Linked DNA regions of Mus musculus. The protein of the gene in region 4 interacts with the protein of the main gene of each other region in a pairwise test. Links are inferred from orthologs where the notes say so. Each region holds a gene or a part of one and is shown on either strand. Other genes may lie near its edges.

Region 1 (3,500 bases), on a different chromosome or scaffold from region 4:
GGAAATCTTGGATTTCTTTGCTTTATTCAGTGAATATTTTCATTTGCTTTTTGAAGTTAAATAGTATGATAACACGTAGAGAAACATTTTGTCAGCAAACACATTACAAAAAAAAAAAATGATGGTATAAATTTCTTTATTTCTCCTCTCCGTCTTCTTCTATCCTTTCTATCTCCTCGGTTTGGAATAGAATCCAGGGACATATCCAGCGTAAGGCATGCAAACTTCTTTTAGTTTTATGGAGTGTGGGTGGGAAGGGGAGGGGAGTCAGGAGTCCGAGGTTGGAACGGGACCAACGGTGACAGTCACGGCTTGGATGGTTAATTCTCCCATTTTGGATTATGTGGATGAAAGAGTTATTTATTTCTGCCCAACACCTGGTTCTTATAACTCATTTGTTCTACACAACATAAAGCAGATAATAATAAAGTTTTATAAGCCTAATACATGATTTAAAATGCACACAGTTAAAAGAATCGTGGTTTAGGTCACTATCTATGTATTATGGTAACAAATAGAATAATAAGTGGCTTATTTTTGGTTTGGTTTGGTTTTTTTGAGACAGAATTTCCTCTGTGTAGCCCTGGCTGTCCTGGAACTCACTTTGTAGACCAGGCTGGCCTCGAACTCAGAAATCACCTGCCTCCGCCTCCCAAGTGCTGGGATTAAAGGGGTGCAACACCACTGCTCAGCAATAAGTGGCTTAATAATGCCTTAAAGAGTGCTTAATGAATGAAATGTAAAAAAGATGGATCTTAATTTCTTTAAGAATCTGAATGTTAAGGAACAAATATTTAATGATGCGCACCTCTGGCGACAGCTCACATTATAGAATGCGCCATTTCGTTGGGACAAAAGTTAATGGGTTTTGTTCTATTTCTGAAGAGTTCCGTGGACTCAGGAAAGTTGGGTATTCACACGGGAATCACGTAAGCTGTGGATCTTACCCTTCTTGGTCCATACAGCCTTTTGAGAATAGTGAAAGCTACAACATATCTCTCTTGAGGATAACCCGGTGGAAATGTCAGAGACGCATTCCTTCCTTAAACCTAGCTTCAGCCACATTCCATGTCTTCTATTCCAGAAAGCACCAATAGTCCACTTCCCAAATAAAGCACCTCTTTTAGACAACCTTTGAAAGTTACTCAGATGCGTGATAATCATTTGTGCGCTCTCTCTTTCTCTCTCTAGACTACTTTGCTGTATTGCCCTAGCTCTGTAGATCTGCAGACATTAGCAGATTGGAACTCTTCTCCCATCAGCCACCAGTTTGATGTGATCAGCCCCTCACACATTTGGATATTTGCACATGTGACCCAAGGCCAAGACCCATGGATTATAAGTCTCTCCAGTTTCCTAAAGCAAGAAAACCTTCCCAAACACTGCTCTACAGCCGTGAGCTATGCGTGGATGTTCGCATACACCAGGCTGCAGCTCTTGTCCCCCCAGGTGGATATAAAGTAAGTGCTTTGAATAAAGCACATTTCACAATGGGTAGTCAGCTTTCATGATGTGTGCTTTTGAAAAGTGGCACACACTGGAAATTCTCTGAGTTGTGTTATAATATGGAGCATGGAAAAGGCGTGAAGGCTATAAACTCATAGAGCTCTCTGTCCTACCCATTCTGTCCCACATGATAGGCCTCGAATACTTTATTCATGTCTCTCTCTGGTCCTTCCACAGAGACTGAGTACTTGCAATAAAACTTTATAATAGCAATGTCCTTTTAAATTGGTACATAAAAACTTTCTAAATGTGTGTGCACTTGATAGTTGCTGAAGAGAGAGAGTCACTCGGTTGAGGGCATGACTACTGGTAGGTGCTCCAGTCAGTGCTCACATGTGAGCAGTGGTAACTGGACCTGGGGGATGGGTTTATTAATAACGGGAAAAGAGGAAGACAAAGTTGGGAGGGCAACAGTGTGGTAGACGGACGGAGGCAATGATGGGTAAATATAAACAAGGTGCATTGAGTTGTGAAATTTTCAAATAAAATTATTACTTAAGGAAGACGTGTGCGATTTCTACTTCTTTTCTTTTTTTTTTCCAGTAGCCCCATCAATGCTAAGAAAGTAAATGCCACCACGAGCAGCGACTCGTACATTGGCCTGTGGAGAAACTACCTGGTCCTCTGCTGCAGCGCAGCCACCTCCCCGTCCCCATCAGCACCCGCAGGCTCCGTGAGATGCTCTCCTCCCGAGACGCTGGCGTCCACCCCTGACAGTGGCTACAGCATCGATTCCAAGGTGGGCCTTTCTCATCCTCTGTGGAATCCCAGGGATTCCACCAGAGGGATGTCTTAAGTTTCTTCTCATGGAAAACATCATAAAGAGCTTGAAGAATTCATCTTTCATTTTCACTGGGTGGGGGGGAAAGTACTTCAAGAAATTCTATTTTTATTTTTGTAGATTCCTAGTTAGAATCAAGAATAAGAGGTTTTTCCCTTGGCTAAAGGGATCACATTCATAGAAATAGCATACTGAATGTTTTAAAGGAAGTCATAAGGCATGTTTCTTCTTACTCTGCCTCCCAAGCCATTACACTTCCCATTGCCAACAGGAGTCATTCATTCATTTATTAGTTCATTGATTTGCTCATTCATTCATTTGTTAGTTTTATGAGACAAGTTTCACCTATAACCCAGGCTGGCTGAGAACTTAACTGTGCGACCTGAGCTAGCCTCAGACTTCCAGCAGTCTTCCTGTCTTAGCCGCCCCAGTCCTGGGATTACAGGAGTGAATGTCCATACCTTGTTCCAGAAAACATGATCTAAGTACTTAGATGCTCTTACAGAACTTGCCTAAATGACACAAGAACACAGTGGCTATCGGAGACGAACCATTAAATAGACTTCATGGTAGGAAGCGAGGCATCATGGCATGGTTGAAGGAAACTGAGTGTCCGGATTTTGTCTTTCTGTGTTTGTGGCTCTAAAGACAGGAAACCTCTGGCTGGGTCCATGGACTGTTATGTGGTGCTGGGTCTTCCTCTAAGAAGTACAGAGACCCACACACAAGTTCTGTGAATGAACTTGAAGTAAGCCAACAAGCAAGCCATTTAGCTTTTCTAGGTTCCGTACACTGAAAACTAAGTTTGATTCAGCATTCTTGTTTGCCACAAAAAATGTCATCTATTCATTGTCTTTGACCACAGGTTGTTGAAATGTCAGGTTATTTCGCTGGCTATGTAATTGTTAATGCCATTCTGATTTTTTCCCTCAGATCGTTGGCATCCCGTCCCCTTCTTCCCTGTTTAAGCACATAGTTCCAATGATGCGCTCTGAGAGCATGGAGATCACAGAGTCCCTCGTTCTAGGCCTCGGCAGGACCAACCCGGGAGTCTTTAGGTAACTTTCTTCTTACGTTCTCTCTGTGATAGAATAAAAAGTGTGCCCATAAGCGAGGCGGAGCAGGATGGAATAGAGGCTAAGTTTCCTTCCAGCCCTGACTTCTCCACTTTGCCATGCAGATGGCAAGTCAGTACATTTGAGCCATCTCTTTC
Region 2 (3,500 bases), on a different chromosome or scaffold from region 4:
CAACTTCTGTAACCCCCAGTCTCCAAAAGAATAGCACTTTTCTACGACTACTGGAAAAGATTAGGTGTGTTACACCTAAAACATACTGGCCCACGATAATCTCAATAAATGGGGGCTGTTTCCTTTTCTAGAGAAATGAGGGAAAGAAAAACAGAAACAGACATCAAGCTGCAATAGTCTCTTAAAATCTAATTAGTGTTCTGTGAGAAGGAGGGGGAGGGGAGGACTGAGAGGAGAGGAGGGAGGGGAACTGTGACTGGGATGTAAAAAAAAAATATACACACACACACACACACACATATATATATATATTTTAATGAAGAAAACCCCCTCTCTTTAGTGGACTTGTGATTTTGCTCAGTGGTGAGGGCACTCGCCTATCATGTGCAAAGCTCTCTCTCTGCATTTGATGCCTAGTGCCCTCCCCGACAAAAACCTTAATCATTATCTTACAATAATTATTGTATTCCAGTTATAGAATATATTGACTTTCAAATAAACTCTAATATTGAATGAACCCAAAAGTTCACTATTTTAAAAGTAGGAAAGGTTTTTTTTTGGTTATTGTTTTTAAGTTTTTAAAATTATAGTTGTATTTATGCTAGGTCTTCTACCACGTGAGTCCTGAAGACTGAACTCAAGTCATTAGACTTGGTGGCAAACGCCTTTATTCACTTAGCAATCTTGCAAGACCACTGTTATTTGTTTTTGTTTTGACACAGGGTCTCCTGCAATTCAGACCAGCTTCAAAGTCACTCTGCAGCTGTAGAGGGCCTTGAACTCTTGATCCTGGTGCGCCAACTCTCCAGTACTGCACTTACAGTAGGACCCACCATACATAGTAGACGACGTTTCATTTTGATAGTATAGGCACATCAAATATATCCTAATTTACAAGCAGTAATTTAATAAGGTCATGCAATTATTATTTTGTATTTTTCAGTCTATACATATAAACTGAATCCCCTACTTGATAGTATAAGAGCAGTTATGAGTCTGACAAAATTGGCTCAATTATAAATACCCTGTTCTCCCCAAAGGCTTCATGTTTTAGCTTTCAAAAGCATTATTTCTTTTTACTGTATTTGAAAAAAATGTACATTTTATTATTGATGTATCTGAGACAGGAGTGGCTAATATTACTGATTGAACACTAATGAGCAAGGAGATGTTCACACTCTTATAAAACTGGACTGAATGCCATAAAGATTTCGAAACACTTAAGGCTATTCTTTAGGAGAACGGGCACCTGCCAGCACAGGAGACCCCGGTTTCAATCCCTACAGTACAAGAGGAAGGGAGAACGCGGAGGTTGGCCATACCTTGTCTTCTTGACCTGAATGCTGCTGCTCAGCTTCTCCAGCACATACTCTCCAGTGTCGTGGTTAATAATGAGCACACAGTCTTTCTGATAGGGCCGCTTGTTCCCTTTGAACACCGTCATTGGCGGCGTGGACCCCTGTTTGCCACAAAAGTATAAGATAAATACACCAATTACGAACGGTCCCCTAATCCATCATCAGACCTGCGCAGAAGGGGCAGATGACTGATCTCTGTCTGACTCCCCCAGCTTTCCAGGCAAAAGAAAGGAGCAGTTATAGTAAGCACCTGGTTTTAGGGATTCAAGAAATAGAACATAAAAACTTTAAGCTACTAGGCAACTCTTTACTAATGTGGGCAAATAGTTCAAAGAACAGCAATGCCCAAACTGAGGACAATTCACCTTGCCCTACACTACACAGAGCTATTACTAACTGGTTAGAGGAGGGAGTGATCTTTGTATTTCTTTGTAATGGAAGAGCCCAGGGCTTCCCCTTCATGCAAATAACCCAGGCAGCTTTCTCCAAGGGTGGCCAGCCCTTCAGCTGAGTGAGTGGAGCCCATGTTACTTAGCCATCACCCCAAGCCTTTCAATGGCTCCCATGCTGCTCGCAAGGCAAAGGATAATGAATTTAAGGCAGGGCCTGACCCCACCACCCATCTCTGGGCTCTGAGGTCTTTAGGAAGTAAGAGGCTCTTTTTCCTGCTTCAGGGCTGAAACTGGCCTTCTGCCTGCTATATTTTGACACTATGTAAATTACTCGATCTTCTGTTAAGTTCAAATAACTCTTCTCTGGTTTTCCACAAGTGTTTATTTTGGTTTGGTTTTGAAACAGGGTCTCACGTAGCCCATGCTAGCCTTATACTCTCAACCACCTTGCTTCCACCTCTCAAAGGCTAGGATTACAGGAAAGCATCGTATCCAGCAGCTACTATATATTCCTATATTTAAATTCCAGACCCTAAGCTGCACAACATCAGGAAATGTACTCATTTGGTTTAAAGTTAATTCTTAGAGCCCACTAATGGGCTCCTACACTGGACACTGATTTAATATTTGTTAAATATAAGATTTAACTTGTTGTTCAGAATTTATAGAAGCACAAAACAAAACAACAGCAAACTAAATTGCTTGGCTCTTCAGCCCCTTAACTGCACAGTAGAAACTTAAGTCTGAAGGGTGCATAGGGACCATGTACCTAACCCCTTCATTTTTCACTTGGGAAACTCAGGTCCAATGGGAGATGATGTAATCTTCCATGGGCAACATGTAATGAAACAGGAGTTCAGATGAAAAGGCTGTTCCCTCTGCTCCAGGGCTTCCAGGTTTGCTGCAGTCTGCACTCTGTCACCAGTTACAGAACTTGCTGTGTCTGAGGACAGAGCCGTGACACGTACTAAGGAGCTTTTCTAGTCTAACTGTTTTCTGTTTATTTCTTCTGTGTGTGTGTGCATGTACACGTGTTTTCTCGTGTTTTCTGTGTGTGGGCAGAAATAGGTACAGGTGCATGTGTGTATCTACATGCACCTAAAAGCCCAAAGCTGACATCAGGCTCCCTCCTCAATCACTCTCCACTTTTCTTTTTTGAGGCAGGTTCTTTTGCTCAATCCAACTAAGTCTAGCTAGACAGCTTGCCCAGGGGATACCATGTCCTTATCTGTGACTGTGGGCTCACAGCAGCTGCCATGTCTGCCATGGTTTTTACATGGGTTCTGAGGCACCCAAACTCCAGTCCTCCTGCTTGAGTACTTCATTTCCTCAAGCCATCTCCCCAGCCCAAGGTGTCGTGAACGCAAACACAGGTCTCCCTTCTGTTTTCCTTTGGCTGAACTGGGAATTGACCCTAAGACCTCATGCGTGCAAGGCAAGACCTCTATCACTGAGCTACCACCCCAGACTCACAGTGCTGCCCTGAAGAGAGCCTTACAGTACAAAGTCTTTTCTTCCAAGTCTTTGGTGCAGCTTTTAACTGAGTTCTTCACCCCTAAATTAGCTGAGTGTTCCAAACTTTGGTTCCTGCCTAGGACCATCAGCCTGCACCGGATCCCTTACTAAATATAGAGATGTCACTCTGGCTCCTGGCCTGCCTTCTGGCTGTTCTATGTTCAGGAGCTGCTATTGCTATGCAGGGCACATAGGGCCCTTTTCTCCAGAACTGCTTGGGATAAGTGTTATATAT
Region 3 (3,500 bases), on a different chromosome or scaffold from region 4:
GGAGGGTCCATCTCAGAAAATAAACTTCACCCAGAAGTTCAGTATATATGAAAGAGACAGCATTAATCCCTCTGAAAATGAGACAAATCTTTAGTGTTAGTTTAGTTTCCTGTCTTCGCAGCTCCCAATGTTCCTCTGTAGAACACAGGGAAAGACCTTACACAGTGAACCTTCCCTGGGAAACTGAGCCCATTATAGAGGCACCCAGATAGATCGACTTCTGGGTTGAAGCTCTGGCTCTCCACTGACTTAGCTCTATGTCCTTGCCCTCTAGTGTACGATGCTACACAAAATGGAGTCTCCTGAACAACTGTCACGCCTCTCCTGCTGCAGGAGCTTAGTGACTGAACTACTGGGCTTTTTCTCGGATGCCAAAAGTGGAAAGAAACTGGGACTTTTTTAGTAAACAATGCATTTTTTAAAGTGGGTCTTGATCTTTCAAAAACATACCCACCAGTCCATAGCACTGTAAGTGGCTTCAAATCTGCTTTGGAGTTGCTAGGACTTAAGGAGACACTGATCCCTGGCAGGCAGACAGACTCTGAAACAGGGTGGGCACCAGGGAAGAAGCTACTCACATGTCTTGAGGCTCTGACACTTCCAAGTAGCGCATCTTCATCAGCTGAGGGAAGTCCATCTCCTCCTTCACCTCCCAGTCACTGCGAACTTCAACTGAGGAGTCTCGGGGTTTCTGCAGAGGAAACACAGGAAGATCTTCATATCCTACGCAAATAGCAAAAGACAGAGTGACATGGGAAGGGCTTTCATTCAATCATTATGGTCCCGGATGTTTTTTTTTTTTAAGTTCATTGTATTTATTTGATCTCTGGGTTCTCTGCTGCATGTACACCTGCAGGCCAGATGAGGGCGTCAGATCCCTTTATAGATGGGCATGAGCCACCACCTGGGTGTTGGGAATTGAACTCAGGACCTCTGGAAGAGCAGCCAGTGCTCTAAAAAGCTGAGTCATCTCATTAGTCTGGTCCTGGCTGTTTTTAAGCAGGGCCCGTGACTCCTGGCAGCTCAGAGAAGGAAGCAGGGCCTCAGCATGGGGCTTCTCAGGGTGTCAAGCACACGCCCGATACAGCAAGCAGCTAAGTCAACCTGCACCTTCACGACTTTATCACCCTACAACACTCGGCAGTGAAGCCGCGATTCTGTGCCCGAAAAGCAGCTGCTTTGCTGTTGGCAACACTCCTAGCCCAAACTCCACTTCTGGTCATGTCTGTTATGCTCACAGCTCCCACAAAGATGGCAGTGTTATACCTAACAGTGCCAAAGTGGAAAGATGAATGGCTGAAGGAAATGTGGCAACCCATACAAAAAAACCACTCTTGGGCAAAAAGACTCCATGTTTGTGAGCTTTATACCAGCAGGTCTATAACCAGTCACATGTAAACTGAAAATTCTTGGATGCTCAGCATACTGGAAATCCCACCTACTGGGTGGCTGACAGAGGAGGATCACCCGAGAGTTAAAATGATACTTTCAACCCAAATATATAATCCAGAGGCAAGCTAAAGTCCACGAGGGGACACACATGAGATACATGCAGAGAAGGTCAGTGCACACAAATCTTGATCTCTGAGGGTACCTGGAACCAATCCTTAACAGACATGAAGGAAAAGTGAAAAGACTGTGCTAACACGGGCTGCGATATGATCTTAAAAGTGGCACACTAACTAAAGGGCACAGAGTATGATCCTATTGTACATGAAATGCCCGCGGGCATCAGGGGAGTCCCGAGACATCTCTCAAGGTCAAAGAAAACAAACCCCTCCAAGTCCCCACAGAGTCCCTAGAGGGACACTACCTGTGACTTCTGGTCCCATTTTTGCCTCACTCCAAATTGCTTCTGGAATTTTTTCTGCAAGCGAATTCGTTCTCTGAAAAGACAGACAAAATGCTGTGATTTCAGTGTCGGCTTCTAGCTGAATCGCATCATCCTTCCTAGCTGCTACCAGGATAGAAAATAGGGGCTTAGATGTAGAACACACTGGGGATTCGAGCAGAGGCGCACTACTAGTATCAACCAGCATTCAGCCCAGTTACTCCCATGGCAGCCCTGGCTAGGGTGCAGTGGCTGCTGTGCCCAGCCCCAAGGGCCCACAGGATATAGCATAAGTGGTGCTGCCTGAAACCAGGCATCCAGAATGTAGAGGCCACAGAGCCACTTCAAATGTCCGCCTCACCCACCTCCTGTCTGTCTGCCATTGCCCAGTCTTGGGCAGCAATAGGTGAGGAGGTTTTGCTTTCTTTTTCAAGAGTGAAAGATAGCCAGTCCCTGCCCTGCTCTGTGATTTTGAGTACAGCCCATTTGGGAACATAACTCTGACTTGGCAGGAAGGGACGCTCACCTCTCTTTCTGCTTGGCACTCTTGGGCAGGGTCTGTAGGTTGAACTGCACCATGTTCCTCCGATCTTTGTCTCTGCGGAGGTTGCGCTGGGGAGCAGGAAGAGACCCATGTTAGCCCCTCGGAGACAAGGCTCATGGTATCTTGAGAGTAAGTTTACGGCGTGAGTTCTAAGTTTCACATCTCTTTACTTTTACTCTACAGCGACTACAGAATTTGGGCTAAGGGGAGTAGCACTTGTGTTAGCTTGGACTGTCATTCCCACTTTAATGTGGGTTTACTAGTTTTATTGGAGTTGCAAAGTTTGCAACATTATGTAGCAGGAGGCACCCTACCAAACCATGTAATTAACAAAGGTTGTACATGACAAGTCAGCAAGGCACTGGGTTCCCAGCACAGCTGTGTGATGTCTGAACTACTGTGAACAAAAATCTAAACTCCTTCAATGTATTCCTAGACCCGTTTCACATTATTCTGACACAACTGGTCACTAAACTGCCACTTGGGATTGGCCAAAGGTCTGTAAGCCTTTCCTTTCTCATCAGTATTCCCAAGATGGCGGCTGAGCAGCAGGAACTTCTGCTCTCAGTGAGAGCTGAGTGTGGGCTGCCAGCCGTGGCCTACCTGTGCGAATCTCATCCGGTTCCGCTGGTAGGCGGTCTTCTGTGTCCGTGCCGTGTCCACCAGCTGGAAGCTTGTCTCATCCTCCTCATGGAAATATGCATACTGACTTCCCCCACCGAACTGAGAGGAATACTTGTCTGCAGGCAAAGGTGACAGTGTGTGCTAAGTGCTACCTACACAGTGAGTGTCGTGCTCATGGTGCATGCCAGGCTTCGACCCCACTCGCCTAAGTGTGCTCCTGACCTGAAGCACTGGCCAGAAGCTTGTGAGATGGGTAGACTCACCGCCCCTGCCCAGACCTGACAGATGGGAACCTGTATTTAAACATGCTCTCAGGTGATTCATGATTCACACTCACATTTAAGGTTTAAGAGCTTGGGTCTAAACAACTTACCAAGAGCCCAAGGATGCCACTACCCCGCTGTACCTCTGCGTGGTCATGTAAGAATCTGAGCTGTACCACCACCCCAGCCATCACCCAGAGCTGCGGACACAGCCTTCCACCCCGACAGCCTCTTTTGG
Region 4 (3,970 bases):
CTAGGCATCTGTCTTAGTAGCTAATCCCTACCTAGGATCCCCCAGTGAGGAGCTATCGGAAGGCATACAGGTGGAGCCCCTGCCTAGAATCCCCCAGTGAAGGGCTGCAGTAGAACTCTTGTCCCTTCTCGGAGACCCCACCACTGAGTTATTTCTGGAAGACGTTAGGTCTGGGAAAGGATCGTTGATTCCCAAGTCACCCAGCCTGGCTGGTGGCTGCACACCTGCCCCCAAACCCCTGCTCAGACCTTGGCACCCCCGATGCTGATGATGCGGTACACATTTCGGGTTGCATCATAGAAATAGGACACGGTAAGTGCGTGCTTGCCGGCGGGGATCCAGTTCCGCTTTGTAGTGGGGTCGATCTGGAATACGTGCGCCCGGGTGCTGAAGATTGGCTGTTCCCTACAGCAGGGACAGAAACTCTGCAGGAGTCTGATGCCACCCAGGGGCAAGGCCAGACCAGAGTGGGTGAGTGCTCACCTGGCTGTGGACATTGGTCAGGTTGGGCTGGATGGCCTCTAAGGGGCACCCAGAGGGGTGACAGGAGTCACTTGTTTGTCCCCTAGGGAAAGAAGAAGATTGTGAGTAAGGCTCCAAGGATACTCAGGCCAAGTGGGTCCTCCAGGTGACTTCACAAAACCAGCGAGGCAGGAAAGGAGCAGCTGCTGGTCAGACACCCACTTCCTCAGTCCCAGCCCAGACTGGCCTTGAAATCACTTTGCAGCCAACAGCAACCTTGAACTCTTGATCCTCTGGCCTCCACCTCCTAAATGCTGGGACGGCAGCTTGTGCCATCATTCTTGGTTCATGTGGTGCTGAGGATGGAGCCCAGAGCATCCTGCATCCCATGCAAGCTCTCTATCAACTGAGCTGTAGGCATAAACAAAAGGCCCTGCTTTTGGGAGAAGCCCCCACAACTGGACTGAGTGATCTCTAGATCTCTAGTGTCACCAGAGAGGTGATACAGTGCCACCAAACTGCAAGGGTAGGTAGGATATGGCTTGGAGAATAGCCTGGTTGTTGGCACGCAGGATTATACTCACTGTCCAGGTTACCCACCACTGGGCAAGTGTCCTCCCACAGGAACTGAACATGAGGTCAAGATCAACCGAGTGGAACATCTCATTCATCCCCTCCCATCCAACAGCCCCCCTCTCCTCCCAGAGGGCCTTGCATCAAAATGTGGGACAAAGCTGGATCCGTGGTGAGGCCCTGTGGTTTTATCTATCTGAAAGCCAAGGCGGTTAGATCATGCATCCCAGGAGTTCAAGGCCTCCCTGGTCATCATGGAGGGATAAACCCATCTCAAGGAGTAAAAGTGGAGTGCTTCCAGGGACCTAACAGGAAAATCAGGACCTCGCTGATCCCACAAATGGACCACTTCGGGGCTGAAGAGATGGTTCAGTGGGTAAGAGCACTGACTGCTCTTCCAGAGGTCCTGAGTTCAATTCCCAGCAACCACATAGTGGCTCATAGCCATCTGTAATGGGATTGGATGCCCTGTTCTGATGTGTCTGAAGACAGCTACAGTGTACTTGTATAAATAAAATAAATAACTCTAGGAAGGAAGGGAGGGAGGGAGGGAGGGAGGGAGGGAGAGAGAGAGAGAGGAGAGAGAGAGAGAGAGAGAGAGAGAGAGAGAGAGAGAGAGAGAGAGAGAGAGAGAGAGAGAGAGAGAGAGAGAGAGAGAGAGAGAGGAGAGAGAGAGAAAGGACCACTTAGCCCAGATAACTCTGTGTCTGAGTCTCCAGGGAGCTTACTTAAAAGGAAAAAATGAAAGCCTGGTATGGTGGCACCAGCACTGGGGAGAATGAGGAGACTTTGAAGCCAACCTGGGCTACAGAGTGGGACCATGTCTCAACGCACAGGCACACACACACACACAAGCACGCATTGCACACAGCGGTTCATCCTAGTCCCCACCATGTGAACAGGGAACAGGACCGGGAGAACGGAGCTCCCCAGCCTCCTATGAACGCTTGCACCTGTCATTCTCCTAAGTCCCCCAAATTTCAACTAAGGAGATTGGAGGAGAAGGAGGGTCCTGCGGGTGCGGGAGGTCAAGACCCGGGGTCTGAGGTCAGGGCCCCTCCAAGCTGTCTTGGGAAGCTGCGAAACCTAAGTTCCCATACAGAGGGAGGGTAGGGGGGTTGTCCAGTCAGAGACGCTAATGGAACTGGCGGAGATTGGGGGAAAGGGGTCCCCGAACCCAGGCCCTTCCGGTCGGACCACTCCTGCCTGGACTTGCCACCATCAGGAAAAGTTACTCACTGAGTAGTCACGCGCCTTGGAGCAGAGGCGCGGGGCGGAGAACCGCGATCGCGCGCGGCGGGGACCCTGCCAGGAGCCCCACGCCGGCTTCCCATTTGGCACCGGTTCCCACTCCCTCCAGGGCAGCTCGTGAGGGCAACTACGGGAGCCGCTGACCCGCAACTTCTAAGTGGCGGAGCCTCGCGATGCGGCGTCCCCAACACCCGGACCTCGGCTGAGGAACCCGGTGAAGACGCGCCCCGCGCCCCAGCCAGCACCTGAGCCGGCCCCCTAGCCGGCACCCCAGGATCCCAACCCCTCAGCCTGCACCCCGCAGCTCCTGGGCCCCGCCTCACAGTCCGCAACTTTGGAAACCGTCTGCGTTTCCTGCGCCCCCGACTCCCTGATTGTGCCTCGGAAGCTGGGGTCCCCCTGTCTGGCTCACCCCGCGTCGTCGTCGCTGCAGCCTCCGGCCCGCGCCCTCCGCGCGCCCCGCGCCGCCCGCGCCTTTGTCTGCGCCGCCTCCGGTCCCATCGCGGCCAGTCCCCGCGCCGCCCCGCCTCTGCCCAGCGCCCCCTGCTGGCCAGCTACGGAGGGCGGGGAAGAGGGAGGGGACCCCGAGAGGGAAGAAGAGGAGGGCGGACATGGAGGGGGGAGTTGGGCGGGGTGAAAGGGCAGAGGAAGGGGAGGGCACCAGGAGGTCAAGAGGAGGAACTTCTGAAGGGGGGACCCAGTGGGAGGCAACTGAAGGAAGTGGGGAGGGCGTGGCTTTTGAAGGAGGGGGAGGGGCCCATAAAGTCTGGGGCTGGGATCAGAGGGATTAAGGGCAGGGGCCTAGGATCAGGCAGAGTACTGGACAGAGGGGAGGGATCCAGGAGGGCAGCGGAGAGAGACAGAAGGTGACTGCGGACAAAGACAGCGGGGTGGGGAGAGGGGTGGAAGAGGAGGGTCTGTCTGGATCGGCCTTGGGGCAGAGCATTGGACTGATGGGCTGAAGGCTGAGAAGACAAAAGTGTGGGTGTTAGATGGGTGGTAGCGGGCCAGGGTGTGAAGACAGAGGCAGAAGTCCTGGAGTGTGATCTGGTGACCCAGAGATAGGGAGAAACACGGAAAATGGGTGGACAACGACCCTTCGCTTTCCTGCCTCCTACCAAGGGTGGCCCTGAGTCTTCATGTGGCTTCTTCGAAAAGAAAAAGTTCCTGGACCCTCAGCAACTGAAGCATGAAGACAGCTTGAGCCCAGCTCCCCAAAACGAAGGTGGGGGTGGGACTGCAAATCAGTGTGTAACGCCCTCGTCAAGCGTCTGTGGTGCCCTGGGCTCCATCCTAATTCCCACGAAAAGAACAAGCAGGCAAATCTCTGTGAATTCTAGGCTAGATTGGTCTATATAGTGAGTTCTAAGCCATCTAGGGCCACATAGTGAGACCCTGACTTTCAAAAATAAATTCTGGGAGTAACTAGGTTATTGTTACAGAGTCTTAGGATCCAAGTGTCCTCTTAGTGTTGTCTTCCAATGAAATGGACAAACTCCCTGCAGCTCTGTAGGCTGAGTCCTGCCTCTGTCCACAGCCACAGCAGCCCGCCGAGGATCCTTCAGGGGATCACCTATCTGCCAGTGGGTCCCTAGCCCTGTGGCAAATCCCTTGCTGCACTTTTCTAGAAATTTCTGCAAGGGTTTCCGTGTTCTGGGGACAAATGGCTGTGTCCGAATCAGAG

What was found.
Region 1: the proteins of Homer3 (region 4) and Fryl interact in binary tests that used the Homo sapiens proteins (3 or more experiments, as listed by UniProt). The two-hybrid records come from large-scale screens. The link is inferred for Mus musculus from reciprocal best matches to the Homo sapiens genes HOMER3 and FRYL.
Region 2: the proteins of Homer3 (region 4) and Eaf1 interact in binary tests that used the Homo sapiens proteins (3 or more experiments, as listed by UniProt). The two-hybrid records come from large-scale screens. The link is inferred for Mus musculus from reciprocal best matches to the Homo sapiens genes HOMER3 and EAF1.
Region 3: the proteins of Homer3 (region 4) and Eif3d interact in binary tests that used the Homo sapiens proteins (3 or more experiments, as listed by UniProt). The two-hybrid records come from large-scale screens. The link is inferred for Mus musculus from reciprocal best matches to the Homo sapiens genes HOMER3 and EIF3D.

The regions. Positions count from the first base shown.
Region 1 is NC_000071.6:73,096,119-73,099,618, reverse strand, and holds part of Fryl (protein furry homolog-like), read left to right. Parts: intron 1-1,191; coding exon 1,192-1,460; intron 1,461-2,049; coding exon 2,050-2,245; intron 2,246-3,220; coding exon 3,221-3,345; intron 3,346-3,500. UniProt on the Homo sapiens protein: Plays a key role in maintaining the integrity of polarized cell extensions during morphogenesis, regulates the actin cytoskeleton and plays a key role in patterning sensory neuron dendritic fields by promoting avoidance between homologous dendrites as well as by limiting dendritic branching.
Region 2 is NC_000080.6:31,498,079-31,501,578, reverse strand, and holds part of Eaf1 (ELL-associated factor 1), read right to left. Parts: intron 1,460-3,500; coding exon 1,323-1,459; intron 1-1,322. UniProt on the Homo sapiens protein: Acts as a transcriptional transactivator of ELL and ELL2 elongation activities.
Region 3 is NC_000081.6:77,964,325-77,967,824, forward strand, and holds part of Eif3d (eukaryotic translation initiation factor 3 subunit D), read right to left. Parts: intron 3,116-3,500; coding exon 2,979-3,115; intron 2,444-2,978; coding exon 2,358-2,443; intron 1,887-2,357; coding exon 1,814-1,886; intron 692-1,813; coding exon 579-691; intron 1-578. UniProt on the Homo sapiens protein: mRNA cap-binding component of the eukaryotic translation initiation factor 3 (eIF-3) complex, a complex required for several steps in the initiation of protein synthesis of a specialized repertoire of mRNAs.
Region 4 is NC_000074.6:70,281,829-70,285,798, reverse strand, and holds the start of Homer3 (homer protein homolog 3), read right to left. Parts: upstream 2,801-3,970; 5' UTR 2,788-2,800; coding exon of another isoform or gene 2,699-2,787; exon of another isoform or gene 2,275-2,698; intron 566-2,274; coding exon of another isoform or gene 498-565; coding exon 484-497; intron 406-483; coding exon 249-405; intron 1-248. UniProt on the Homo sapiens protein: Postsynaptic density scaffolding protein. Binds and cross-links cytoplasmic regions of GRM1, GRM5, ITPR1, DNM3, RYR1, RYR2, SHANK1 and SHANK3.